4 linked regions of the Notamacropus eugenii genome follow. The protein of the gene in region 1 interacts with the protein of each later gene in a pairwise test. Links are inferred from orthologs where the notes say so. Each region holds a gene or a part of one and is shown in the gene's direction. Other genes may lie near its edges.

Evidence for each region.
Region 2: the proteins of DAZAP2 (region 1) and EXD3 interact in binary tests that used the Homo sapiens proteins (3 or more experiments, as listed by UniProt). The two-hybrid records come from large-scale screens. The link is inferred for Notamacropus eugenii from reciprocal best matches to the Homo sapiens genes DAZAP2 and EXD3.
Region 3: the proteins of DAZAP2 (region 1) and SMAP2 interact in binary tests that used the Homo sapiens proteins (3 or more experiments, as listed by UniProt). The two-hybrid records come from large-scale screens. The link is inferred for Notamacropus eugenii from reciprocal best matches to the Homo sapiens genes DAZAP2 and SMAP2.
Region 4: the proteins of DAZAP2 (region 1) and BATF2 interact in binary tests that used the Homo sapiens proteins (3 or more experiments, as listed by UniProt). The two-hybrid records come from large-scale screens. The link is inferred for Notamacropus eugenii from reciprocal best matches to the Homo sapiens genes DAZAP2 and BATF2.

Annotation. Positions count from the first base shown.
Region 1 is NC_092874.1:223,615,895-223,623,819, forward strand, and holds the start of DAZAP2 (DAZ-associated protein 2), read left to right. Parts: upstream 1-4,916; 5' UTR 4,917-5,101; coding exon 5,102-5,114; intron 5,115-5,472; exon of another isoform or gene 5,473-5,862; intron 5,863-7,140; coding exon 7,141-7,259; intron 7,260-7,681; coding exon 7,682-7,925. UniProt on the Homo sapiens protein: In unstressed cells, promotes SIAH1-mediated polyubiquitination and degradation of the serine/threonine-protein kinase HIPK2, probably by acting as a loading factor that potentiates complex formation between HIPK2 and ubiquitin ligase SIAH1.
Region 2 is NC_092872.1:493,497,389-493,504,478, forward strand, and holds the start of EXD3 (exonuclease mut-7 homolog), read left to right. Parts: upstream 1-4,080; 5' UTR 4,081-4,389; intron 4,390-7,090. Other genes in the region: NOXA1 (NADPH oxidase activator 1), read right to left, coding at 1,065-1,238. UniProt on the Homo sapiens protein: Possesses 3'-5' exoribonuclease activity. Required for 3'-end trimming of AGO1-bound miRNAs.
Region 3 is NC_092876.1:78,638,517-78,645,678, reverse strand, and holds the start of SMAP2 (stromal membrane-associated protein 2), read left to right. Parts: upstream 1-4,156; 5' UTR 4,157-4,616; coding exon 4,617-4,719; intron 4,720-7,162.
Region 4 is NC_092873.1:17,745,980-17,753,143, reverse strand, and holds the start of BATF2 (basic leucine zipper transcriptional factor ATF-like 2), read left to right. Parts: upstream 1-4,160; 5' UTR 4,161-4,399; coding exon 4,400-4,456; intron 4,457-5,964; coding exon 5,965-6,069; intron 6,070-7,164.

The DNA of each region.
Region 1 (7,925 bases):
TTTCTATTTCCTAGTTTCCCTAGCTTCCTTTAAATCTCAGCTAAAACTCCACTTTCTGCAGAAAACTTTTCCTGATCCACCTTAATTCTACTGCTTTTCCTCTGTTCATTATCTCCAATTTATCCTATATGTGGCTTGTTTGTACATATTTGTTTTTACATTGTTTCTTCATTGGATTATAAGCTCTTTGAGAGAAGGGGTTGTATTTACCTTTCTTTATATCTCCAATGCTTAGCATAGTGCCAGGTACATAGTAGGAACTTAACTAATGTTTACTGACTGATGGATAAAAAGTTTTTTGACAGTTTCCAATTTTTTCTCCAAAGCTTAGTGAGATCTCCCCCAAGCTCCCATCCTGCAAATCTAGCTACCTGCTATATTGTCCTGCTGGCTTCTCAAACTCCAAACATCTAGCACTGAATATCTCATCTTCCACCATAAATCTGCCTCCTTCCAATTTTCTCAGTTCCTATTTATGGTGCTGCTTTCCTCTCAATGATTCAGGTTTGAAACCTCACAGTTATCTTTGACTCTAATCCCTCACTCCATCCCCACCCCCCAACTTCAGATAATAAAGGTCCTGTTGATTTTACTGCCACAATAACTCTAACATCTGTCCTTACCTTTCTTTGCTACTACCCTGGTTCAGGTCCTCATCCTTCCCTTTCTAGCTGGAACACTAATAGTATCCACCTAACTGGTTTCCCTGTTTGCAGGCTTCATTTTTCTAATCAGTCCTCTACACAGTTACAAAAATAATCTTCTTAAAACTCAGGTCTAATGATGTGATTTCTCTGCACAGAACTCTCTAGTGATTTCCCATTGCTTATAGAATGCGAACTCCTTAGCTTGGCATTTAAGGCAATTTATAATCTTGCTCCAACCTACTATTCTTGCCTTATTTCACACTTTTTGCTTCAAGTGAACTACATTCCAGCCAGACAGTATTATTAGCTATTCCTCAATTTGTTTTTACCCTCTTTCACTACAGAACTTTGAAGATCACCAGGGACTGAGCTGTTTAGGGAAGAAAGGCTCCATGGAAGCTGTAGAATGAACTGGACCTTGAAAAATGAACAAGATTTGATCAGACAGAGAGGGGAAAAAGAGAATATCAATGGGCAGGAATTAGAGAAGAAAAGATTTTAGAGGCTAGAAAATGCAAAGGTTTCTAGCTGGGAAGTGATAAAATAACAACAGTATCTCCATCCTTCTGGTCACCCAGGTTTGCAATCTTAGTGTCATCCTCAACTCTTCATTCTTCCTCAGCCCACTTAGTCATTCAGTTACTAAAATTTGTCCTTTTCATGTCTATAACCTCTCTCACTTCCTCTACTAGTCCCCTTTCTCTACTTCTACGGTCACTGGCCTCATTCACCATCACCTTACCTTTTCATTGGACTATTTCGGTCACTTTCTAATTGTTCCCTCTGCCTCAAGTCTCATCTTTCCAATTTCAAGGTTCATACAGAGGCCAATGTGATATTCCCAAAGCACAGATTTGATTATGTCATTCCCTTCTTCCATAAATTGCAAGGGCTCCCTGTAGGATCAAATACAAACTCCTCTCTTTAGAGTTCAAATCCCTTCACAACCTGCTTCCAACCTACTTCCCGGACTGATTAAGATTATTCCCCTTCATGCCTTCTATAGGTCAATTAAACTGGCCTCTTTGCTGTTCCCCACATTACACTCCATCTCCCATCTCAGTGCCTTTGCCCATGCCAGAAAGGACCTTGCCCCCTTCAGTTCTGCCTCTTAGAAATTCTGTCTTCTCGATTAGACTGTTCTCTGCTCCCTTCCACTGGTAGAGCCTCACTTCCAAAATTACCTCTATTTATTTTGTAAATGGCAGCTAGGTAGTGCTGTAGAAAGAATGCCAGGCCTGGAGTCAGAAAGACCTGACTTCAACTGCTACCTCAGACACTTACTAGCTGTGTGACCCTGGGCAAGTCACTTAACCCTGCTTGCCTCAGTTTCCTCATTTGTAAAATAAGCTGGAAAAGGAAATGGCAATCCACTCCAGTACCTTTGCCAAGAAAACTCCAGAATGGGGTCAAGAAGATTGAACACAAGTGTATGATAATTTTGCAAATATGCTGTATGTATTTACGTATATATTATTTCTCTGGTTGATTGACCAAATAACAACAGGCATTTTTTTCTTATAAAATTATATTTATTCAGTCTACAGAAGGTATGTTTGATTATTTGTATGAATCATGTTGCTTATTTTAATATTTTCAATGAACAAAAATCTGTTTCTTCCCCCTCTCCACCTCATTACATTGTGTGCTCCTTGAGGGCAAGGACTCATCAGGCCTTTTTGTGTTTCACCAGCACTTAGCACAGTGCCTGGCACCTAGTAGACAATAAATGCTGACTGACTCCTCTTCCCATTGAAAAGGAAGCAAAAACAAAACCTTTGTAACAAATACACACAGTCAAGCAAAATGAATCCCCACATCAGAAATGTGCAAAAACCCCATATCTCAATCTGTACCCTGGATCTATTACCTTTCTCAGGAAGTGAGGAGCATGTTTCATCATGAGTCATCCAGAACCATGGTTTGTCACTGTAAGAAGCGTTTTTAACTCTTCCTAAGCTATTTGTCTTTGTGATGTTGTTGTTACTGTATACATTGTTCCTCTGGTTCTGCCTACTTCATTCCACATCAGTTAATAGGAATCTTCCCAGGTTTCTCTGAGATTGTCCCCCTTATAAATTTTTACAGTACAGTAGTATTTCATGACATTCATATGCCATAATTTGTTCATCCATTCTCCAATTGATGGGCACTCTCTTAATTTTCTAGCTCTTTGCCAACACAAGAAGATCTTCTATAAAAACTTTATACATACGTATCTCTCACTTCTTTGGGAGTATGGCCCTACTATCAGAGGGAATGCATAAATTAATCAGTTTTGTGGTATAGTTTTAAGTTGCTTTCCAAAATGACTGGACCAGTTCAGAACTCTCCCAATAGTACATTACTGTACCTGTTTCCCCACAGCCCCTCCAGCATTTGTAATATATATATTTTTGGTCAGCCTTGGGTATGAGAACCTCCAAGATGCTCTAATTTGAATTTCTCTATTAATGATTAGGAATATTTTTTCATATGGTTATTTATAGCTTGGACTTTTTCCTCAAAAAAATGACAACAGGCTTTTATTAAGCTACTGCAAGGTGATCAAATCTGTCAGTACTTAAATTAATTCAGACTACTCATTGGAAGGACTGAAACTGAAACTTAAATGCTTTGGCCATAAGAAGAACTCACTGGAAAAGACCTTGGGGTTGGGAAAGATTGAAGGTAAAAAGGGGAGGGGGAGAGCAGAGAATGAGATGGATAGCATTATAGAAACAATAAACATGAGCTTGGATGGACTTTGGGAGATGGTAGAGGACAGAAGTGGCTGGCATGCTACTGTCCATACGTCTTGGATATGACTGAATAAATGAACAATACATGCTCGGTACTGTACCAGGTGCTAGGGATACAGTGACATTTTTTTGTAGATCTTGCCCTCAAGGAACTTACATTCTCTGGGAAGGATATGACATGTACATATAAAATAATTTGAGGAGCGATAGAGTATTAAAAGTTAGGTAACATAGGAAAAAAATTGACCTGGAACATGGCACTGAACTGAGCCTTGAAGGCAGCTAAGACTTTGAAGGAGAGGGGAGAAGTAAATGCATTCCAGGAATGAGGGGCCGCCTATGGAAACACATGAATGTGGGAGTGGACATGCTTGGTCAGTGAAGGAGGCCAGACTGTCTGTGGCCCGGTGGTTCAGGCTCAGGACTGGGATGAACTGAAATGCCTGAAGGCTATATGACCATAAACTAAAGAAATCTACTCAGTAGTGGCCTAGAAAGGATGCTAGTCACCAAGGATACAGCTTGGCTCAGGTGGACCCAGGTCCTTGGAGCTCCCCAGTTTCCCCGGGGACCCCACGCAGTCAGGAAGGTGTATTGTCTCAAGTGGGGGGAGTCTCGCGAAGCTTAGGCCCCCCAACAACTCCTGTCCTAGGCTGTCTTCCTTTACGTGACAGGCGAGTTAAGTCAAAGCCTCAAGCTTTAGTCCTCTCGCAAACAAACGTCCAGAACGGCTTCGCTGCTTTAGGGACGAGGATCTTCCCCCGGTGACGTGCGGCTCTGAATGACCTTGACCTTGGAGCAGGAGGTCAAGGACTAGCCCCGCAGCGGGGCCCGGCCAGGTGCTCGGTCCCCCAGCACTTACTAAACTCTGACGTGCGCCAGGCTTCGAACCAGGACAAGAACGTCCGGCTCTCGTGAAGCTCCCGGCGTGCGGGGAAGGGGCCTGCACGCACCGCTTGTCCGGAGCCGTTTGCGTGCTACATGTATCCATCTGGAAAGAACACGCATGCGTATAGCCCGCAGCTGTTCGCCCGTAACACACAGAGACGTGTATGTGTATGTACACACACGTGCGTGTATCTGTGTATCCACCGGATGAACGGGGGGTAATGTGGGACGGCAGCACCGAGACGGGGAGGAAGGGAAAGGAGCCCAGGCGTGCTGGCTTCACGAGGAGACAGGAATAAACCTTTCTAAAACGAAACTCATTTTGTGGCTTTACCAAAGTCACCAGGCGTCCGTTTCCTCCTTTGTGAAATGGGGGTGGGGTGGGGGTTGAATCGAGGGCGCCGTTTCCTTCGTGTCGGCGTGGGCGGAGCTAAACTGGGAAGGCTTCTCGGAGGAAGCCACCCGGGAAGGGTTAGGGAGAGGCAGGGACGGGCGCTGGCCGGCCCAGCCCCAGCCTCCGAGTGGCCCGAGGCGGAGCGGGTAGACCGGGCCCGCGAGGTTGGGACTGCAGGGCGGGGCCGGGGTGGGTCGGAGAGGGGAGGGCCCAGGCAGGCCCGACACCCCCAGCTCAGTCCTGACCCTGGAGACACCGCCCGGGGGCGGGGCTTCCGGTGGCGGCGCAGGAGGGGTTGGGGGGGGGGTCACCAGGACGTCCCGTGACTCTGGGAGGACGGCGCGTCACATGACACGGAAGTGACTTGGAACAGGAAGAGGACGAAAAAAACACCGTCCGCAGCCCCAAGCCGAACCGGACCCGCCGCCGCCATGAACAGCAAAGGCAAGAGCGGACAGGGGGCGAAGCCGGCGGGGCAGGGCCGGGGGCCGGCCGGCCGGGGGCCTCGGGGAGCCGTAGGCCCGGACGGGGGCCGGCCGCCTTCGTCGCTGAGGGGCCAGGCCCCGGGCCCGCGTCGCGCTCGCTCCCGGTCGAGGCCCCGAGCCACGGCCGCTCGCCCCCTCCCTGAGCTTTTTCCCTTAAAGCCTGTGGCGCAGTTCTGAGCTGCAGGGGGGCCGGGGCGGGATGGGCAGGCCGCGAGGCCAATGGGGAGCGAGGGCTCCGATGGGGCTTGGCCAATGAGAAGCCGGACGGGGGCGGGACCGAGAGCTGCCTGGTGACGGGCGCCCCCCATCCCTCCTCCGGCCTGGGGGAGCTGGAGGGGGAGCGTCGGTGCCTTTGGGGGAGGGCTGGGCTCTAGGGGCCGCGGTCTGGGGCTGCTCGCTTTGCTGCCGGCCTCCCTTTTCTTGATAGCTGTGAATGTGTCGGTTAAATCGGCCCAGCACCGGCGCGAGCCCCCTCCGGGGGTCGGGGCGCCCTCCGCCCCTCTCCCTGGATTGTTCTATTGTCTGGGAAGCCCTTCTAACGGGGCCTGGCCGGGGAGGGGAAGGAGCCCAGATTGGGGTTCAGGTCTGAGGCCCACCGTGTGACCTTGGGCAAGTTACTCCACTTCCCGGATCCAGAGTGCCCTCTAACCATTAGGCTCCCAATAACGACCAATAATTGTCACTATAGGTGGCATTTGGATAGTCTGGTAAGGAGTGCGGACCGGTCAGCTTACCTGGGCCTCAGTTTACTCCTCTGTAAAACAGTGGCAAAGTCGGTTGACTTATTTTTCGCTTTTTAAAGCAAAATGTTTATTTGTAAATGACATTCGCATTTAACAGAACTGGACGCAAACCCTTTTTACAAATTAAAAGGGATAGGGATGTGGCTTCTTCCATTGCTTTTAGGCTAATACTCGGAAGTAATTAACACCTGCCTCCCAGATTTGTCTTAAGGATCGAATGAAATGAGAAGTGTAAAGTGCTTTGCAAACCCTCAAGGGTTTGCAGTGATTTCTTGTTATTATTTGGCCCTCACCACGATTCTACGATGTAGGTGCTGCTGTTTTCCCCATTTTATGCAGATGAAGGAACTTGAGGCACAGAAAGGTGAAGTGATCTGTCCAGGGTTATGACAGGATTTGAGCTCCGAGCTTTGGCTCCTTGTCCAGTGCTCTAGATAAGATAATTGGCTTAGGTGATCCTAGGTCCCTAAGGTCTATTCCATTTCAAGATCCTCTTATTCTTCCCTGGTGGGGGAAAACCGCTGGTGTGGTGGTAGGCCATGATGGGCTTTGGAAGTTGTGCTGGAGTTACAGGATATATATGCAAATCCTGGCTCAGACATTTATTAGCTGTGTGACCTTGGGTATGTCATTTAAGGTTTCTGGGGCTCAGTTTCCTCATCTGTAAAATCAGGGATTTGGACCATTTCTATCTCTTAATCTATGTATGATCTAGCGGCTTCTGCATCTGCTAAATCTCCTCTTTCTGAAGTTGACCTTGAAGGTCATTGTAGACCTTTGGATCCAGGCAAGAAACCCATCCAAATCTAGACACCTGACTAGGATGATTAGTAAGGCCAACCCTGGAGCCAGGGATCCCTTACTAATTGATATGAGTACATCCCATCTCCTATCCTTACCGGTACCTAGAAGTCCTCCAGCTTCAGAGAGAGCCGAGAATAATCAGAAGAGTTCCTATTCATAAGGTGTTTTCCTTGAAACTGACTGGACACACTCCCCCCGCATATTCCTGTAGAGTAGATTGTACAATTCCCAGCCTGGGCCTATCAGAATCCCTAATCTGTAGCTGCAAGATAGTACCTTCTTCCCCCTTCCCCTGTTTGTTCCGCTGCATCATCCCTTTCCAAGCTGTTTGTCAGACCCCACTTCTAGGGGTCTGCACAGCTGTGTGAGTCTTTGGGCAGCGTGCCCTCTCTCTGGCCACATATGATTCCACTACACGTGCCTTTTTGTGTCTTCTAGGGCAGTATCCAACGCAGCCCACATACCCTGTGCAGCCTCCTGGAAATCCAGTGTACCCTCAAACCATGCATCTCCCTCAGGTTCCACCATACACGGATGCACCTCCAGCCTATTCTGAGGTAAGAGTGTCAAGATTTTTAGGTGTTGGAGCAGGCCGAAATCATGTGCCACCATTGCCCTGTCTTTATAGAGGGTTAGAATTTCAGAAACAGTGGCATGAATGAAAAAAATCATTGCTATTGGGTTGAAGATGTGTTATCTAATGAAAGCCCTGGGTAGGGGGTAGTGAGAGCAGAGCAGTATGGGAGGGGGGAGGTGATGATGGTGACTGTAACAACCCTGACATCTCTCCTTAGGCTCTCCCTCATTGGGGAGAGGGTCTTGAGAGCAGGCTCAGAGGTAGGGGGAGGGAGGCTATGATTAAGACATTTGCTGGCTTCATAAGTGACATAGTTTCTACTGGAGAATTGAACGTTGACTATTAAAATACAAAATAAATACCGTAGGAAATAAACTGGTTTTTTCTTCTGCCCCTTTTTAGCTCTATCGTCCAAACTTTGTGCACCCAGGGACTGCAACAGTTCCCACTATGTCAGCTGCATATCCTGGTGCTTCTTTGTTTCTTCCCATGGGTCAGTCTGTGGCTGTTGGGCCTGTTGGCTCTGCTGTACCACTGGCTTACTATCCACTTGGTCACGTATACCCCCCGGGTTCAACAGTGCTGGTGGATGGAGCATATGATCCTGGTGCCAGGTTTGGAGCTGGGGCTACTGCTGGGAACATTC
Region 2 (7,090 bases), on another chromosome or scaffold:
ACAATTACTCTTGTAATCTTTTACCACAGAAGAACATGACTCAGTCCTGGGGGTAGTGTGCCTAGGAGATGAGATGTATTAAAAAACCAATATGACTAAAACATCTTCTGCCCACAGCATGGAAAAGGGGCCAGAATGCATCTAAAGTTTTTATGGTTGGGTTATATTCTAAGTATTATGTTTGTTCTCCTCTCAGCCTGTCTTGTCATCCTCACCTGCATACCCATTCCAACTTTCAAGTTATTCCTATCACCCATGGGAACTCAAGAAGATGGCCAAAATATTTTGTGTGGATTTGCCTAGTCTCTTTATAGCACCAGTAGGAAACATTGGAGAACCATTCCCTGGTCCATCTGATTCAACTCTATTCAACAAACATTCACTAAGTATCTGTTGTTCTAGGCATGGTGCTTCATGTTTGTCTTTCAGAATGGCTTCATCCATATGCCCACTGATGGATCGGACACTGTCTCATAAGGAAGCAAAAACTTCAGGTGCTACTAGATTCAACCTCAATAAATATTTGGTTTAATTGCATTTTATATTTTTTTGAGAACTTTATTTTCTTTTTAAAAAATTTAATATTTTATTTCCCCCCAATAATACATAAAAACAATTTTAACATCCTTTTTTCAAATTTCCAAATTCTCTCTCTCCCTACCCCTCTCTTCCCCATTGAGAAAGCTAGCAATATGACATGTTATACATCTGTAGTCATACAAAACACGTTTCCAAGTAAGTCATTGTATTTTAGTTTAGATCTGACTCTCTTTACCCCATATTGTGCCCTTATGGATGGGGAAGCTGGGAGCAGTCAATTCTGGATTGGGAAATACAGTGTGTGCCTGGTGGGGTGTGTTTTGAGTGAATGGCCTCCTCTCATTCAGATTCTCTCTTTTCTCCTTTCACATCTCCATGACCCCATCTTTTCTAGAAGTTATAGGATACTCAGGAGGTTGGGGTGCTAATTCGTCCTGATCTCAGGCTTTGGATGTCTGAGCTATAAGGTTTGGGATATAATCCTAGGCCTCACTAGCATCCCTCCCATTCCTTTGCCCACTCACCTGCAGGGCTGCCTCTGGATTTCCAGTTAGCAGGTGCACACAGCCCATGTTGAAGCAGATCTTGGAAGAAGGCTCTTCAATTCTGGAGAATAGTTCCAAGGCCAAATCCCAGTCCTTCCTATCCACAGCCTGGACAGCTTCATGCCAGCCCTTCACCAAATCACTGTATGACATTAAGGATGACCCTACAGTGGAGCTGGCCTAGCTACCCTGGGGGAAATAAAGAGCTCTTTGAGAAGGTATTGACTGAGCACCTTACAGCTGTGAGGTTGTGAGAGGATTGTGCCTGACACTCCTTAGAAGGCAGCCTTACCAGGGTGAGAATCTGGGCTGAGCAGGAAGTAAAGCCCCTTTCTGTTTACCTAGTAAGAGGTGGAGGTATGTGTGTGTGTGTATTCATGTGTGTGTGTGTGTGTGTGTGTGTGTGTGTGTGTGGAAAGGGGAGTGAAAGGGGGCTGGCTGAAAGGATCTTTCAGGTGCTGAGGTCTGGGGAACACCTGTCTTTTAGAGCTAGAGAAAAGATCCTGTTTCCAGTGGCTGTTGTGGGGGTGGGCTATGAATAATGATAAAATGTCTGGCTTTTAGACAGCTCTTCATATTCTGTATAGACTCTCACCTGTAGTTTCTACCTGTGGCAGAGCTGAGTGATGAAACACCTGCTATCAAGCTGCTCTGTGTGATGCGTGTTTTGTGGGAGGGGGAGGAGGGTCTTGGCCCCATCTCTAAAGGACAGAGGAGGACAAGAAGCTTCTGGTTCATTTTTTTTTTTTTAGGAAGACTTGACAGCCACTGCCCCTGTCCTCCTTCACATTTAAGTCCCTGTCATGAGCTGAGAGTATTTTAAGGAAGCAGTTTAGATTTGAAAACAATAATCAGATTGAAGTTTACTAACTAAAATGGAAAAGGATTTCATTTGGTTACTTTATGGTCATGGGATGGGGAGGAATTATGCATGGGGATGAGGCAGATGGGGTGAGGGGAGAGAAGGTTCATGTGTGGAAAAATATCTGTGAGGGGAGTGGGCTATGTGTGTATATGGGTGGGACAGGACAGAAGGGCAGTTATAAAAAAAGACAGAATAGAAATGCATTTGGTGAGGACTTCAAGAGGATGAAGGTCTCTGAAGGGCCTGAAGAGAATATAATATGGGGGAAATTCTCTGAGATATGGGGTGTAGCAGGGAGAGCTATTTTAAGAGGAATCTGGTATATGAAGATTAATCAAGGCACCTGTATGGATTCAGGAGTCTTGATTCTAGATCTAATAGGCTTCAGAGGACTGGGTCCTATCAGATTGTATTTTATTAGGGGCACCCATGCTCTTTATTTCGGGCTCCATTCACTCTGAATTCTCCACCTTCTCCTCAGTAGCAATCTCACACTGGAGATAGCTCTGCTCTGAGGACAGCTTTGCTGATTGCTGTGTCCCTAGCCACAACCACCATTTCATTAGGGGCCCCAGCCATGTTCACTTCACTCTCAGCAAATCTGGATTTCTCTGTCCTTACTAGTCATCTCACCAGTCACCTTTGCCCCAGCCTGGGTTTTTCTCCTCCCACTTCAACTTCCTTTTACACAGTCTTTCTCCACTAGAATATAAGCCTTTGAGGCTGGGTCCCGTTTATATCCTCCAATTTCAGCCGAGTGCTTAGAACAAAGTCCTTCATGTTCTACCTGGTTAGCTAGGTGGTAGAGTGGATATAGCACTGGGCCTGGGCTTCAAATGCAGCCTGAGTGACCCTGAGCAAGTTGCTTAGCTTGTCTGTTTCCCTAACTGTGAAGTGGGAATAACACAGCACCCACCTCTCAGGGTTGTTGTGAAGGCTAAATAAGATATCTGTAAGTGTCTAGCCCTGTTCCTGGCCCACAATAGGTGCTATATACAATGCTATTTCTTCTTTCCTCTCCCGCCCCCACCATCTCTTTCTGAGGTGAACAAGGGCATGTTAGGGAGACACGTAAACGTGCATGTGTGTGTGTGTGTGTGTGTGTGTGTGTGTGTGTGTGTGTATCTGATGTCCCTGGGGTGGTGGAGACCAATTAGGGATGTAGAGCGAGAAGTCTAACATGGAAGAAAATGTTTGTATATGAGGGGGTAGCACTCTAGTCCTTTTTTGGGTTGGGATATTTGGAGGAGACTCGGTGGCTGGAATAGTAATAATGACAGTATATATATGTATGTATATGTATATACGTGTGTAGACACCCACACACACATACATCCTACACAGTCTCTTTGGATCCTTACAACCCTGTGAGGCAGATACTACCGGTATCATCACCCATATTTTCTAAAAGAGGAAACTGGGGTTGAGAGAGGTCATGTAGACCCATGGTCACAGAGCTAGTCAGCATGAGAGGTGGGTTTCTAGCCTGGGATTCCCCAGGAATCTGGGGTGGGAGAGCTCTGAGGGGGAAGGTCTCAGGAGGGGGCCTGGGTATCTGAAATATGAGGATTGTGGGGGAGGGCACAGAGGGGGTCTTTGAGGGGGTTGAGGCCTGGAGGAGGGAGTGGAAGGGAAACAGGGTCTGGGGGGGAATAATAAGGCCATGGTGGGGGTTGTCTGAGGGAAACAGTATAGAACGTTGAGAGACTGAGGAGACAGACTATGGGAAGACTGAATGGAGTGGGGGGACTGCAGGGAACAGAATATGGGGGATTTAGAGTGACAGTGTGGGGAGATGCTGGGGGGACAGGGTGTAGAGGGACTGAGGGGGCTGGGGGCTGGATACAGGAAGACTGGATGGAACACAACGATGTGGGGGGACCTGCAGGGAACAGAGTGTAGGGGATTGGGGGGATTTAGGAGGGCAGAGGACGGAGTCTCTGGGGGCTGAGAGGGCAGGATGCAGGAGGACTAATGGATCAGGATGTGGAAGGACTCTTGGGGGGACAAGATAAGGGGGGATTTAGAGGGATGGAGCACGAGGAGCCGCGATATGAGGGGGCTCCGAGACACGAGTGGGGGGGGCTAAGGGGAACAACATGGGGGGCCTAAGAGGACAGGATGTGGGGGCCCCTGAGGGCGCTGCACCAGGCGGCGGCCAGGTCGGCACTTCCCGGAGGGCCCCACCCCGCCGCTGGGGACACAGGGCCTCCCGGTCCGGAGCGGTCCACGCCCACAGGCTAGGCCCGAGTTCTGGGGAGCCGCTGGGGTGCCGTTGGGGCCTTCCTGCCCTCAGCAGCGCTCGGCCCGGCTTCGGTGCCCCCGGAAAAGCGGTCCGGCGCCATTCCGGTGCACGGCTCCGCCGCCGCCCCGCCGCCGACGTTCCGCTGCCGGGAGGGGAGAGGGCGCCGCCCCGCGGGCTCCGAACGCCGGCTCCACGTGAGTGGCCGCGGGCACACGGGGACACGGGGACGTGGGGACACGGGGCCCGGAGGGCCCTGGCCCGGAGATCGCGGCTCTGGGGCCCGCCAGGGCGCCTGTGTGAAAGAGTTGGGGAGCCTCCGGGCGGTGTGGGTGGGGGCGTCGGAGGGAGGGGTCTAGGGGACCGTGTGATTGTGGGGGGCCACGGGGCTGCTAGGCTGGGGGGATGGGGGGGTCTGTTCAGGGGTCCCCGAGCCCCTCCCCCGCCTTCGGCCCCGGGTCCCAATTCCTAGAGCCCGGTGAGCTCCCGAGGGAGCGTCCAGATTCCGGGCGTGGTCCGGGGCGGTCACCGCCCAGACGCATCCTCGGCTCGACCCCGTGCAGCCCCGGGGCCGCCTCCTCCGAGAAGCCTTCCCCTCCCTCCCGTCCCTCCGCGCCTCCTCCCCCAGCCCCCGCTCCCCAAGTCTTGATTTCCCTTCTGCTTTAATTTCTCAGAACACTTTGTTCGACCCCTCCACACAACCAAATTTTGGCTTGTATTTTTATGTATTTGGGTGTCCTCCTTCCTGCTGGGTTGAAAGCTCCCTGGGAGCAGGGGCTGTGCCATTGCTGTGCCATCCCCGTTCTTTCCAGCCCAGAACAAAGCCTTGCCCCCGTCGGTGCCTGGGTATGAGATTGTTGGAAAGAACGTGCGGGTAACCCCCCGTGGAGAGCGGGACGAGGATCCAGGTCTCAGCGGGGCTGCCATGTCCAGCGTGGCCGTAAGGTGTCAGTGCAGTCTTGGGAGGACAGTGGTGTGGACCCTGGTGGCACCCACCGGACTCAGAGACCAGGAAGAGCCCCTGGGTCTGTATTGGCGCCGTCCCTGAGGGTCTTCCTCTCCCAGACTGATGGGTGAAAGAGGCCATTCTTTGCCCCATCCCTTACCTGCCCTAACCACTGGACGGGTGTTGCCTCAGACAGCCGAGGCCAAGGTCTCCCCTGCAGCCAGCCCGTCTCCAGCTGTCCTGACCTGCCCCGGCCCCGGGCCCCACATGGCTCCTGTGGCGCAGCCCTCCCTGCTTCAGCCTGATTCCCTCTGCCGCAAGGACGGACAAACGTCCGTACCGGGAGCAGCGTCTGTCCCTGAGGGCACAGCCTGTGTAATTCAATTAAATGTCCAAATGTACTGTGGCATTTTTTGACATTTTATTTAACATTTTCTAACAGTGATAGGCAGGATGCAGAAAGAACCTGTGGAGCCTGTATTATTTTAGAATTTCTAGTTATTTTATGTAGTTACAGATTCAGCGTTAGACAGGACCCCAGAGGCCATCCAGTCCAACTCCCCTCCCCCCCTTTTTTTCAGATCAGTAAATTGAGGTTTAGGGACTTGCAGAGTAGTAAGTGATAACCAATATTTGAACCAGATTTTTTGACTCTTTCCATTATATTTGGGCTGGCCAGAAATTTGTGTTAGTCCCACACGTAAAGAAAAGTACTTATTGGCAAATGAATGGTTCTCTTCAGAGTGGCTGAATGGTTTAGTGGAAAGGTGCCTCAATTGGGAGCCAGCAGATTCAGGCTTTAGGCTTGTCTTTTCCTCTGCCTTGCTCTATGACTTTTGGCAAAGTCACTTATGAGGTTGGATTAGATGGTCTCTGTGATCCCATTTAGCTTTACGCGCTCTGATTCTAAAGACCACAGAAAGAATATTTAACATTTAAAAGAGCTATTTGTGTGTGTATACTGGAAAGAACACTGGACGTGGGGGGCAGAAGAATGAGGTTCTTAGTGCAGTCCTTAACTGGCAGGCTTGATCATAAATCATTTCACCTTAGCGCATCTCAGTAAAAAGATTGTACTAGACAATTTCTGAGAGTTCTTCCAATTCTAGCCAAATAATTTTAATCACTACTAAATATAGTGCATGTAAAACAGTTTAAGGAGACGTTTCTTAGTACTAATTTTTCCTGTTGATTAAAAAAAAACTTATTTGATATTTTATTTTTCCCAATTACATGTGAAAACAATTTTAACATTTCCCCCCAAATTTTGAGTTCCAAATTCTCTCCCTCCCTCCCCTCCCCACCCCATTGAGAAGGCAAACAATTTGACATAGGTTATACATATTCATAGTCATGCAAAACACACTTCCTTGTAAGTCATTCTGTGAAAGAAAACACAGACAAAAAACCTTCAAGAAAAATAAAGAAAGAGTATCTTTGATTACATTTAGGCTCTACTAGTTCTTTCTCTGGTGCTGGACAGTACCTTGCATCATAAGTTCTACAGAATTGTTTTGGATCATTGTATTGCTGAGAATAGCTAAGTTATTCATAGTAGATCATCATACAATATTGCTGTACTGTGTACAATGTTCTCCTAGCTCTGCTCATTTGCATCGGTTCATGTAAGTCTCTCCATGTTTTTTCCATGTCTTTTCTATGTTTTTCTGAGAGCATCCTGCTCATCATTTCTTAAAGCACAAATTAAGGGACATCTCCTCAATTTCCAATTCTTTGCCACCAGAAAATAGCAGCTATAAATATTTTTGTATGTATAGGTCCTTTTCCTTTTTTAAAAAATCTCATTTGGGATACAGACTGAGTAGTTATATTGCTAGGTCAAAGGGTATGCGTGGTTTTGTAGGCCTTTGGGCATAGTTCCCAGTTTTTTTACATAATGATTAAATTAATTCACAACTCCACCAATAGTGCATTAGTATCTGTTTTCCCAC
Region 3 (7,162 bases), on another chromosome or scaffold:
TGTGCTGTCTTGTATCAGGACTAGGGTTGTGGAAACTTCTGGCAGCCCTGGGTTGGGGAGTCTACAGCTGTGTACGTGGAAGGGGGCTTAGACCAGGGGCAGCTGTGTTGCTGTGACCCAAGGGTCTTAGAGACCTCCAGCACCTAGACTAGGACTGGGGCCTGAAGCTGTCTACTGGAGTTATGACAAGTGCAAAGCTTTGTTTTCAAGACTCCAAACTGGACTTGGGAGCCTACAAAACTCAGACGGGGAAGGCAGTTATTAGATGGCAAACTAGATTAGGCAGCATCCTGTGCTGAAAATTTTCAGGTTGTTGATCTGAGCTACCCCTGAGGTTTTTTGTAGAACCCTAGAGGAAGCAATGACAGTATCCTAGACAATATCCCAGATCAGGACCAGACAAGGTGACACCGTTTCCTCCAGAAGCGTATAGAATTAGATTTTGACACAAATTCTCATTCAGGAAGGAAGGCTAAAAAAAATGGGTTAAGAAAAGAAGATGATAAAGAAATATTACAGATCTAGGAATACTGAAGTTTGGTCCTGATTAATTCAAATACTGAATCCCATGAAGTAGTCAAATCATTCATATTTGCACTGCATATTTCCACTGTGTTGGAGCCAATGATCATATTTTACATAACTAAAATTTTAAATAGTGCAAATTAAAAAAACAACACTATCACTTCACGGATTCATTGTTCACTAAGTGGGATCTAGCTGTAATTCTACAACATTTATAAGCCACGACTCAAACAAAAACACAGTTTGGCCACAAGGTCAATCGTAATTCCAGGGAGCAATTAAAATAAGAATTTTAAAAAGTATCAGTGAGGAAAGATTTGGAAGGAGATTAAAAAGGAGGTGCAAAACTTTACCCAGCATCAGATTTCCTGAAAATGTGAATCTACTGGACATAATTACATGGGATAATAAGTGATCCTAGAATTAAGATGATATTCCTAGAGTATAAGTCTTACTACACCATTCCTCTACTCAATAAATTCCAGTGGTTCCATATTACTTCCAGGATTCAGCATTAACATTTTTATTTGACATTTGTAGCTCTTCACAGCCTGTCCTCAGACTGCTTCTCTAGCTTTATTGTACATTTTCTGTTCTGAAAATTAATAGTGGTCCAACTAAACAGACCTTGTTACTGTTCCTCATATGCCTCATTCCATGTATTGTCTTTGTTCCCATACCTGGAATTCACTCCTTCCTTATCTCCACCTCTTAGAATTCCAAAACTTAGCTTAAGCACCACCTTTTTCATGAGGTCTTTTTGCCCCCCCCATGCCAGCTGCTAATCCTTTCCTCTCAAATCACGCTATGCTGTTCACTTGTCTGACTCTTTTTGACCCTATTTGGGGTTTTCTTGACAAAAAATACTGGAGTGGTTTGCCATTTCCTTCTCCAGTGCATTTTACAGATGAGGAAACTGAGATAACTTGCCCAGGTCACATGGTTAGTAAGTGTCTGAGGCTGGATTTGAATTCAAGTCTTCCTGATTCTAGGCCTGATGTTCCATCTACCCATTGTACCTCCTAAATGCCACTTGCCATCTGTTTGGTATTTTGTATACATCTGGACTAGCCCAAGTCTCCCATAGAATGCTCTTTATGGGTGGGGATTGTTTCATTATGTTTTTGTGTCTCCTATGCCTGGTGCAGAGCAGGCCCTTAAGCAATCAATCAGTCATTAAATAAACATTTACTAAGCCTACTACGTAGCAGGCTCTGCGATAAGTACATATTGATTGAATAGGCCTGAAGGAAAGACAAATACCATGAAAATCAAAGAGGCCCCAAAAGAAAATGGGGTGCCTTTGGAGATCATGTGACATCTCCCTCCTTCGAGGGTCATCAAGCAGAGGCTAGAAAACCATCTGTAGTTAAAGAGAATGCCAGGGAAGGGGTTCTTGTTCTGGAGCAGGTTGGACAAGGCAAACTCTGGGAGCCCTTCTATTTTCAAAGATTTGGTGATCTAGCAAGTTATCAATGACATTGAACTCAGCCATTCAAGAAAGCATAGGGGACCAACTAGTTCCAGTGAGTTCAAGCCTCAAGGCCACATGTAGCCCCTCAGGTCCTTCAAATGTGGCCCTTTAACCGAATCCAAACTCCACAGAACACATCCGCTTAATAAAAGAATTTGTTCTGCAAAACTTGGACTCAGTCAAAAGGCCACACCCTAGAAGAGCGTATGTGGCCTCAGTGCCACAGGTTCCCCAGCCCTGAATTATGCAGGCAAAGAACTGGCTGGAGTCAGAGTGTCTAGCTCTATTTCCTAGTTCCACTCAGCAACTGTAGACATACACAGCTAAATAGCCCAGAGAAGTGATGGCTTAAGGGAAACATCCTGTCTTTGAATTTCTTAAGGATTGTCATAGGGCAAAACAAAAAGTGCCTTCCTCCTCTTAATTATTCCCATTTATCCCACATAGAACTTGCTTTGTATAATTGGTTTCCATGTTATCTCCCCAGTTAGATTGCTTTGAGGGCAAGGACTGTTTTTTGCCTTTCTTTGTATCCCCAGGACTTTGCTCAGTGCCTGACACAGCAGGAGTTTAATAACTGCTTATTGGTTGATTGTTCTGTTTAGAACTAGGGTTACAGAATAAGCAGAAGTTATATAGTAAGAAAGGCGTGGGGTTCCATATACACAAAAGCTTTCCTGATTTCTTTCTCTATCATGGTTCCAGATGCTTTTCCCTCTCCTCTCGAATTGTTAGCTTTTTTGATACAGTGTCTTCCTCCATTGGAATGGAAAATCCTTGAAGACAGGAACTGTCTCTCTTTGTTCTTATATTTGTATCCCCAATGCTTAACACTGTGTCTGGCGCAAAGGAAGCACTTAATAATTATTTGTTGACTTGACTTGATTCTTCTAACCACGGACTAAGATGTATTTTGAAAGGTGAGCTTCCCATCGCTAGAAGTTGCAGTCACAGTCAGACCTGAAAGTTTCAGAGCTGGAAGAACCTTTGGTAGTCCTCCAGGACAATTCCCTTATTCTACAGATGAGGAAACTGAAGCCAGAGACATTTAAGAGACTCTCTGGATGGAGGCCCCATAGGTATGAAGCGGCAGCGCTGGGGTTTTAACTTAGATCCCCTGGTTCCAAGCCATGGCTCATGTCTATGATACTGTGCTGCCCCTCCTAGTCCTGAGTGATCAGCTGTCAGGAACAGGACCTGGTGCCATAGGAGTTTAGATAAGAAAGGACTTTATAAGCTTGAGAAACCGAGGCTTAAAAGATTACACGGGCTACATCAAAGGTGACCTACGAGCGCCAAGGCCCCTTTCAGTTCTAAGATTTTGGTACTATGCTCCTTTTTCCCCCTTTTCCTGACTCGTGTGTCTCCCTCCAAAAACAGATATGACAAAGACCTTGCTCTCGAGGCATTTACAACCCAGGCTGCGTTTCCCTCAGTCCAAGGCTCTCTAATGGCAGGACTCACGCCCTCTTCCTTTCATCTGGACTCATCTAGAGTCTACCTGCTTCCACCTCGCTCCCTTTAGACTGAGGGCAGAAGCGTAGACAATGGAGTGTTGTCATTTGTGGTTGGACTTGAAGTCAGTCAATAAGCATTTATTAGGCATAATTTATTTTTGGTGCCAAGTGCTGGGGATACGGAGGAAAGCCAAAAAAGGCTCCAGAAGCTCACAGGAGATAACATGCAAAATGCATAAGCCAGACACATACAGGATAAACTGGAGAAGAGCAGTACAAGAAGGCACTAGCACAAGTCAAAAGACCTGGCTTCGTAGTCCGGCTCTGTAACTAGACAAATCATTGCCTTGCCTCCCCATTCTCCCGACCCCCTCCCTTTCCCGCCCAGTTCCATTCATTCTTTTTCAAAGGTACCCCCTATGGGGCGTGACTTTATGAAGCCACGCCCCCATCTCACCTTTGCCCTCCAGGGATTGGTTCCTGTGAGACCTCTCCACTCCCACCCTGTGTGACGCACAGCGCCGTGCGGTGGTAGGGCCAAGAGTAGGAGGGACTCTTCGACCTGAGGGGCGGGGCCGGGGAACTCGGCCAGGAGCTTGGTAGGCAGGCGCGCAGGCGCAATGTGGAGCGGAGGGCGGGGCCCGAGGTGAGGCGAAGGGGAGGGGGTGGGAAGGAAGGAGGGAGGAAGAAGAGCCGGAAGTGGGCGGCGGGGGCTGCAGCTGCCAGGGAAACCGGGGAGTAGAGCAGCGGCGGCGGCAGCGGCGCCTGGGTTGGGCTGGTGGGTGGGCGCTGAGGCGGCCAGGCCAGCAGGGGCGGGAAGCAGCGGGAGCCGGCCCGGGGACGCCAACATTCGCCTCCCCGCCCTCCCGGTCCCCTCAGCCGCCGGGGGGCTACCGGCCTAACCGCCCACCGGGCTGTGAGGAGCCGCGCGCGGCCTTCCTCGCCGGCGCCGACAGGGGGCGCCAGCCACAGGGGCTCGGGGGAAACCTTCCCCCCCGGCTCTTGGGGGCCGGGGCCGGGGCTGGGCCGGGCTTGGCCCGGCGGGGGGCAGTGTCCGGGGTACCTGCGACCCCCCTCCCCCGGCCTCGGGGCTCGCAGGTGGGCGCGGGGAGCGGGTCTCCTCCTTCCCCCCGGGGCAGGGGTCGCGGGGGCGCGTGGCCATGACGGGCAAGTCGGTGAGGGACGTGGATCGCTACCAGGCTGTCCTGGCCGGCCTGCTGCTGGAGGAGGAGAACAAGTTCTGTGCGGACTGCCAGGCCAAAGGTAACCCCCGGGCACCCGGCCTCTTGCGACCCCTCCGAGAGGGCAGGGACTCCGGCTTAGGCGAGCTTGGCCTCTCCGCCCCGGAGCCCGGGACGGGGCCTTCTGTGTACGGGGATCGTTTCATACACGTCGGTCCAATGAATGAATGAATGAAGCCGCCCTCGGGTCCCTGCTGACCTCTCACCGGAGAGAGTAGTAAGCAGGCTCTCTGCAGCCCGGCAGCGTTGTACATACGGACGGATGGAGAGCGCGCGCGCGTGTGTGTGGGTGCGCTTTCCGAGATGGGATCGCAGGAGCGTAGATACTGAGCTGGAACGGACTCCGAGTACGAATAGCCTCGGAGCTGGTGCCCGAGGCTGGATGGCTTTCCATCCACCTGGTTGTCCGGTGCAGTGGGGCAACATCTTCATGCGGTGACACACTGCAGATGTCTTGGCCCTGGCGCTTCACCTTCATAAGGGTGGTGGAGCGTGGGAGAGCCCAGTGTGGGTGGTGGCAGTAACAAACAGGTTCAGACTGTAGGGCAGGATCCGTTTGGTGGATGGAGAGAGAAATAACATTGGGTTTGCTTGGTGGTGTCGGCAGGGCCAAGCCCGGTGAAGCGCTGTTATTGTACAGTGACCCAGCAATGCCAACATCTAGCGTCCATCTGCCGGCGACCCTCAGAGACCCAGCTGGAGCAGCTGATTGGAATATAAATCAGGGGGTTTGGCCTAAAAAAATACGCAGCCACTTGCTTGGCAATGGACACATTGACTGCAAGGGCTTGAGGTGGATTGTTCTCGGTTCCTCCTTTTACAGAATACTTGATAACGCAGGAGTTATGGAAATTCCTGGGTGGGGTTGGGGAAGGGGGGCGGTCCTGCTGTTTTTAATGCATTTCCCTGAAATTGGGCCCAATGACCCTATCAGTTTCTCTGGATGCTCTGGTAGTGGATGTAGTAATTGCACAGGCATTTTCAACATGAGGATAAACCAAAGACCTAAATGTATTGTTTTTTTGGCTCTATGGGAGGAGGGAGGGAAGGAGAGGGCAAGTAGGCAAGTGTTTTTTGTTTGTTTGCTTGTTTGTTTTCATGTGAATGGAGTGGGGAGGGAGATGCTATGTCTTTTTCTTGCCCCTCATAGAAAGAGGAAGAATTAATATGTCTTGGTGAAAACTGGCTCAATGGGAAGGTGGGTAGCCATAAACCAGACTTTATTTGAAAAACTGCTTGGGATTAATTTGTTAAAAGTAGGCTCTTGTTAATGAGTTTCTTCTCTCTGTTAGAATTTCCCTGCAGCTAGGGGGAGGTGCCTTGGCTTTGCTCAGTTCCTCATTCTGAATCACCCACCGGAAGTTCTATTGCTGGGATGGAGGAGTCAGATGCCATTTCCATGATAAGACCCATTTCTCCTCATAGGATCACATAGCCAGAGCTGGAAGGGACATCAGAAGCCATGTAATATGATCCCCTCATTTGAAAGGAGGAAATAGAGGCCAAGGGAGGCTAGATGAGTAGCCCAAGGTCACACTGGCAATTAGCGTCAGAGGTGAATTTTGAACCCAGATCCTCTAACTCCAAAGCTCTTGTTCTTACCACTCTACTACACTTCCTCCTGATTCATATCCTAGCCCTACCAAATTAGTCACTACCTTGGGCTCACCATCAAGGTCCATTTTCTTCTCTGAAATGGAGGGACTGGACTAGATGCTCTCTAAGGTCTAAATCTTTTGATTATCTCTTAAGCTGAAGCCAGGGTGTGAAGAGTTTTACAGGCTTTCCAGGCTAATTACACGATTCTCCCTTACTGAGCTCTGGCTCCAGCCAAGCTGGTGTCCTTGCTGTTCCCTGTACAGGATGGTCCATCTCCTGCCTTTCCATAGACTGTTCTCCTGGTCTGAGATGTTCTCCCTCCTTTCCATCTCTTGGAGCCCCCTAGCCCTCTTCAGTGCTCAGCTCTAATGCCAGCTTCCCTCAAGGGCCTTTTCCTGATTTTGCCTCTTGTCAGTGACCCTTTCCCCCATCATTGTGTATTTATTTTGCTTATATTCTGTATTTACTTATCTTTGAACATATTGTAGTCCTCTCAGCACTTGATGGCAGGAACTGTCTCATTTTTGTAACTGTGTCTTTAGTGCTTAATTCAGTAATAGGAGCATAGCAGTTGTTTAATAATTGTTGTTATCTTTAACAAGTGATCATCCAGCTTGAATAATAATAATGGTAATGATAGCTAGCATTACTTACTCAGGCACTGTGCTGAGCACTTTACAAATGTTGATCCTTATTGGAATGAATGAAATCATTTGAGCCTCAGCAACCTGGAAGGTTAGCAGTGTTATGATCCCTATTTTGCAGTTGAGGAAACTGAGGCAAACAGTTTAAGTGACTTGCCCAGGGTCACACACCTAATAAGTATCTGAGGCTAGATTTGACCTCAGGCTTACCTGACTCTAGGA
Region 4 (7,164 bases), on another chromosome or scaffold:
TCTCTGCAGGGGCTGGGCTGGAAGCAGGTTTAGGAGTCACTGCTATTCCCAAGGCTTTGTAGCTCAGGGTGCTGGACTTTCTCTGTCAGGGTCTGAGGCAGGGGTGGGGAACTTGGGGCCTCAAGGCCACATGTTGCCCTCTAAGTCCTCAAGTGATACCCTTTGACAGAATGCAGACATCACAGAACAAGTCCCCTTAATAAAAAGATTTGTTTTGTAAAACTTGGACTCAGTTAAAGGGCCACACTTGAGGATCTAGAGGGCCACATGTGGCCTTTGAGGCTGCTAATTCTCCAACCCGGCATGGGACAATTGTAATGCCCCTTTCCACACCTGTGGGCCCCCACCTCTCTAACAAAAGAAGTGTGGTACTTTCTCCAACTCTTCTCTGGGGACAGAGTTCAACTCTGTTGGCCCTTTCTAGCAGAGATTTTATAAAATGTTCACAGTGACAAGACTGGTAAGGATGCAGTCAGGACTCTAAAGCCAGTCAGTCAATAAGCATTTATTAAGCCCTAACTGTGTGCCAGGACCTGTGCTAAACCCAGAATGCAAAGACAAATGGTAGTGGCTGCCCAGTCTGATGGGGATGGGGTGGGGGAGCAACCTGCAGATGAGTATGGCCAAGAATGCTTAGAGACAGGAAAGACTGGAGCTAAACTACAGAGGGAGAGCTCCAAGATTCTGGGGGCTGGGAACTGAGGAGGGAGAGGCTGATGGGTGGATGGATGGATAGATGGATGAATGGATGGATGCTAATAATCCACTAGGGAGCCACAGACCCACAGCTCTGGAGGGTCAAAGACAGCTTGGCATCTTCCAGTTGAACCCGGACCCTAAAGGACTCCTCCCCCTGATGTCCCTGACAAAAGGTCATTAGGCTCTTACTTGAGAACCTCCAAGGAGGAGGACTGCCCCCTATCCTCTTCCCACCCAGCCTGCATTACTTAAGTGATGCCAGGCTCTGTGCCCACTCCCCTCTGGGCAGCCTCTCATGTGAGGGAGTTTTTGCTGACCTCCAATCTAAGCATGACTGTTTGCAGTCCTGGTCCACTGCCCCTGGTTGTCCCCTTTGGGACCCAGGAAAATGAGCCCTTCCCAGTGTCCTTTGTGGGTGCATCAGCCCAGCATCCTGGAGGCAGGTCCCAAGAGTCTGGACAAAATGTAAAGGATTCCCAGGGACCCTTTAGTAAGTATAGGGAGCACCTCAGGGACTCCTAGGGGGCCACCCGATCATCACTCTGCTTCTCCTCCCTCTCTGGTCATCTTGGGGAAGCCCCCTGTCCTGAGCATAATAAAATCGGTTTATCTCACATTGGTCCTGATCAGCTAAGTTCCCCTGGACAAATCTACCCAGAGGAGGTTTAAAAAATATAGACCAAAGGTACCATGGCCTGTAAGCTCCTCAGGATGATGGTGGAAGGTGAGGCGGGACTCCCCTTGTGTCAAAGGTCCCAGCAAAGTCTCAGCTCCTGAGAAGCTCATCAGTCCCTCCCCTCAGCCTTCCTTGCCTTCCACCTTCCAAGACTCAAAGTCAGGGAATGCCCTGAAGGTCTGCAACCACGTCTCCCCTCACTCACAGTCTCTCCCTCTGGTCAGCCTAGTCTGTTGGCAGCAAGGCACCCTGTGGGGGAGACAAGGCAGGCTTACCAGCCCCTTACTACCCCCACCCCGAATCTAAGTGGGACCCACAGCTTCAGTGCCTTGGGGTTGAACTTGCCTGTTTCCCCCTGATGCCAGGAAGCAGGGAGCGAGGGCTCCCAGGGAAAGGCCTGTGATGTGGAAACAAAAGACAGCTAGTCATTTTTTTTTTCCACTCTACAAAAAAGGAGATATATAGCTTTAAAGGACCTTTACCTTTTTTAAAAAATAATTATAAAACGAATATTAAGTATCAATCAGTTAAACCTGTTTTGCAACTGTCTCTAATTAGATGAATTCCAGTATCAGTGTGGAAAGGTCTGGGCCTGGAGTCAGGAAGATGTGGGTTTGAATCTGGCCCCAGACACTGGCTGTGCAGCTTTGGGCACGTAACTGCTACGTGCCTCGCTTTCCTTCACTGTAAAAGGGGGATCATTATAGCACCGGTCTCCCCGGGATCAAATGAGCACTGTATAAATGAATGTTAGCTATAGCTAAATAAAAAAGGAGGGATATAAAATCAGTGAGGCCTAAGTGGGGAGATCTGGTCCTACCAGCCCCTGACTGATCCCCCTGTTTGGATAATGATGCCTGACATTATTATGTTTGATGATCACAAGGCCCCCAAGCTGTTTTACAGATGGGGAAACAGGCCCAGAGCGGTCACACAGGGGGTACCTTTGAGGAGCAGGATGTGGCTCAGGCCTTCTGACTCCAAGACCCAAGCTCTACCCATTATGCCAGGCTGACCCCCAACGTCAGCTACCTGAGAGCAGGCTTGATCAGTCTTCACAGTGCCACAGAGAAAGCGCTGAGGGCCAAGGCTGAGACAGGTGCCCAGGTTGCCCCTCCGGAGTTATGTCCTCACCAAGAGGGCCCCTCCTACCTACCAATGCATTAAACATGACCCTGGGCATGGAGGGAGAGACTGGGGGTAGCCCTGGGAGCCTTCCAGGCCCCGCTGTGATCCCAGGGAGATAGACTGAACAGGGAGCATCCTCTCTTGCCTGCTCCTGCCCCTCCATCCTACCCCACCCACCCTTAGACCCTGGGAGCTTGGGTAGGGCCAACCTTTAGACTCTCTCCCTGTCCTACACTGCAGCCTGGGGGAGCTGGGAATAGGGAGTGAGGCCAGAGGACCCTCGGTACTGGCCACACCCACACACGAAGTGCTGATTTCCTGCAGTTACATCATGCTCTGGCCACAAACGCAGCCTGGTGAGCCCTGAATTAGGCTGTTTAATCAGCCCCTTGGGAGGCAGGCGCTGTCTTCAGTAAGAATCTGATTTTTTCTTGTTTCTGGGGAGATCAAAAATTCAGATGTATATATTTCTATAAAGGGGTTCAGTCTGTCCTCCCCATGAAAAGAGCCTGCTAGGGGTCCCCTTCTGGGGTTTGGGGCATCAGAGACTCGTGGGGGCATCACAGATCATCCCCTTAATTTTGTAGACAAGGAAGTAACCCCCAGGGGGTACGGCACCCAGGGAATATCAGAATTTGAACCCAGCTGTCTGACTCCAACTCAATCCAGTAAGGTGTTCAAGGTGTCTCAATATCACTCTAATTCTAGAGTCCCTGAAGAGCCCCTGCCTGTTCTGGGGGCCTCCAATCCTGGGGTTTCCCAGGCCAGTCCCTGATTCCATACCCTCTCCTCCAGCAGAGGTCCCCTTGCCCCACCCAGAGCTTGGGCTGCCTATTCCAGCAAATAGAGATGACTATAACTGTTTCTCTGATTTCTAAGGATTTCCCAGCTTCCTCTCCCTTTGAACCTCAGACCTGCACTAGGTGGTGGGCAGGGCGGGGCAGGGGCTGTCCTCAAGTTCTAGGAGAGTGGGGGACTTCTGGCCCCAAGGCAGTAAGGCCTGCCTCAGTGGCTCTTTAGTGCAGGGCTCCCCTCTGGGAAAGCAAGCCAAGGAGAGAGACAACCGAAGGATGGCTGATCTCATCCCACAGGAGAGAACAGAGGCATAGCAGTGAGTCGCTGGCAGACACAGAGCCAGGACTTTCCTAGGCGTCCTGACTCAGGACTTCAGAGGGCATCCACTCTAAATCCCAAGAAACTGAGGCTCACAAGGTGACAGTCACACAGCTAGTAAGTATTAGGAGGTAGGATTTGAACACATGTCCTCCAGCTCCAGAGCCAAAGTTTCTTCTGCTGCACCCTCAACACTCTCACCCCAGGAAGGGACCTCAGGGACCCTGTTATCCAACCCTCTTATGTTACAAATGAGGACCCTGAGGCAGGCAGGTCACTGATTTTGGTCACAGCTAGCAACAGTAAGAGCTCAGACTCACACTGGTTTCTCCAGTCCCCAAGCCTTTTCCCTGCCCCTCCCTCGCTTTTCCTCTGACCACCAGACCATGATGGCAGCCCTAGTTCTTCTCTTCACAGACCCCAGGCTGCAGGGCTCTCTTGGGTTCTCCTCCTCAGGGCTTCTTCCCCTCCCTGCTGATCCTCTGTCTCTATCTTTCCCCAGGGAGCCTCTCTCTACCCACTGATCCCTGGCTGGCCCTCCCTAGCAGGCGGAAAGTTTGGTCATATTAGGAAAGTCCAGCCACGTGGGCACCCCAGGAGCCTGGGATTCTGAGCAGCCCGAGGGTTTCAGAGAAACTGAAACTGGACTCTGTGGGTGGAGTGGTCACCAGAGATTTAAAGGCTTTACTTCCTGCAGCTGGGGCTAGGAACTTGGAAGCTGCAGGCAGCAAGAGGACACCCTGCGTCTCTCATTCACCTGGCCCTCCTATCAGGAACCAGGACATGCACCTGTGCAGTGGGGCACCCCCTTCCCAGGAAGGGCAGCTTTTGCTGGTGACCGTGAGTAGCGGGGCAAAAGAGACAGGGTCCAGGAAAGGGGGAATCAGGAAGACCAGGCAAGATATGCCTTATTTAGGTGGTTTCCATTTGGGGATAAAAACCTGACCCCAGATCTCACACCTAAAGTTCTCCCTCCATCTGAGGGGCAGAGAGACAAGGTGGAGTCTAAGTTGGCAGACTTCTGTTCTAGCCCTGACTCTGCCACTGACTTTGTTCAGGGTCCTTCCCTGTGCCTCAGTTTCCCTTTCTGTACAATGAAGAGGTCTTCCCACCTCTATGAATCTAGAAAGTCAAATGTTCACCCCATCGAGGCCCCTGCCCCATCCCTGAACTTTGTTTTTTCTTTCAAAATTGATGTGTTTTTTTCTCTGCCTTAGCCCCGGTTCCTGTACTTTCACACCAGCACTGACTTCCTTTTTAACTCTTCCAGATAGTCTGCACCCCCTTTGCACTCACCGTTTGTTTATCTGTCAAATGTTAAGTGGATGGGGTGTTACAGGATGTTGAACTGAAGAGGCCCGGAGAGGCAGAGGCTGCCTCAGAGCCCAGGACTTCAGGCTTTGGGCTGCTCTCCTATCTTTTCTCCTAGTCTGATGCTGGAACAGGCTTGGGTTAAAATCTCATCACTAATATTTACTGGCTCTGTGATCCTGGGGAAGTCTGTTTACTCTTCCCAGACTCAGTTTCCTCATGTGTAAAATGAGGGTGATAATAGTACTTTCCTCTCTTGGCTGTGGGTGAGGCTCGAATGAGATAATATATGAAAAGTATTTTGCAAAATTCAGAGTGTTACAAAAGCCTTCCCTAAACTAGGCTCCTGAAATAGCTTCAGTGCTCAGAGGGGGGCATGGAGAACACAGGCGTTAAGGGCACCCACCTGGTTCCCCCTAACCTGCCTAATACACGTAACAACTAGTAATCATTACAGCTGGGAGGGAGCTGGGAACTCATTTAATGCAAGATCTTTTGTTTGGGAACCTGAGGCCCCAGATCAGTCAGTAGGTCAGTAAGCACTTAAGTGCCTACTGTGTGCTGGGCTTACAAAGAAAAGCTAAGTTGCCCTGAACCTGACAAGCCACCAGGTTCAAACAAGGCCTGAACAGAATTAATTAGAAATAATGATGAGAGAGCAAGGGTTGGGATTCAGAGAGGTTGGGAGAGGAAGGGCCTTGCCCATGCCACATGGGTGAAAGTAGCTAGGGACCAGCTCCTCTGGCCCCAGACCTCATTGCCTTCACCCTCCAGTAGCCCACGATGGGCAGCTATAGAAAACCTTTGCTTGGATTCATTGAACCTCTAAGATGTGCTGGTAAATGGTGCAGGGGAAGAGCACAGCAGATCCCTTTTCCAGAGGCTGAACCTGTCCACAATATTCCAATCAGGATGGGCTTCTTGGAGGAGGCAGGTATCCTAAGGGATGCCCTGGAGCAAGTCAGGGGCAAGGGTAGGTGAGCTCATCTCTGGCAGAAACCCAGCTCTGTGGTAGAGCAAGGACTTCTTGCCCCCAGGATCCCAGAGAAGTGGACAGACAGCTGAAGCGGAGACAGAAGAACCGGACAGCAGCCCAGCGGAGCCGGCAAAAGCACACGCATAAGGCAGATGAGCTACATCAGGTTTGGGTCCCCTCTACAACACTCTTAGGCTTTGCTTGAATACCTTGGGGAGTGGGGAGCTCACTACTTTGCCAGCCAGGTTTAGGTTAGGAAGCTTTCCCTGACATCGCTGTTCCTTGGCTCTATCACTCCAGTGTTGCTGTCTGGGGCCAAGCAGACAAGTCTGATCCCTCTCCCAGGGATTAGCTCTTCCAGGAGGCCTCAGTTTGGAGTCCAGAATCTGGGCTCTGTTCTGAGGCTGCTTCTCCCTGGATCCTGCAAAAGCCGCCCTGCATCATCCCTCGAAGCCACCCTTCTACAGCTCGTAAGGCAGGTCCTACCCGGATAGTGACCCCTATTTTAGGGGAGGAAACTGAGGTTGGTGAAGGGGATGTTCTCCAGCTCACATAGCTCTAGGGAAGCATCACAAACCATGCTCAGCTCAGCCTGTGGTTGGGGACTCAGCTCTAGGCTGCAGATTTTAGGAAGGATTCTGACAAACTGGAGACAGTTGGTAAGTGGAACCAGGAGGGCAGAGATCACGCACAGGAGGAGCTGGGGGTATTTAGCTTGGAGAATCAATTAATCCATCAATCAACATTTATTAAGCACCTACTATATACCAGGCAGGCACTGTGTTAAGTGTAGGAATACAAAAGGAGGCAAAAGATGGTTCCTGCTCTCAAGAAGTCCCCAGTTTCCTGGGAGAAGAGGGAGATTCCTCTCCAGAGGAAAAGGTATCAGACTCACTCCCCTTGGCTACAGAGAACAGAGCCTGGAGCACTGGGGGGAATGGGCTAAAAAGGGGGAAGGGCTGCCTAAGGATCCAGCTCAGCAGGTTAATGACCTCACCAAGTTCGGAGGGGTGCTGAGGGACCAGCCACCAGGCATAGTGTGGTGCAGGGGGAGCTCCAGGCTGGAGACAAAAACCCAAGGACCAGCCACCAGGCATGGTGTGGTGGTGGGGCAGCTCCAGGCTGGAGACAAAGACCCGAGGACCAGCCACCAGGCATGTTGTTAATAACACCAAGGACATCATTTATGGAGTGCTTTAAGATCCACTAGGACTGAACTTGGATCTTCCCCTTTGGTTCTTTTTGGGAGATCTTTTGTTTA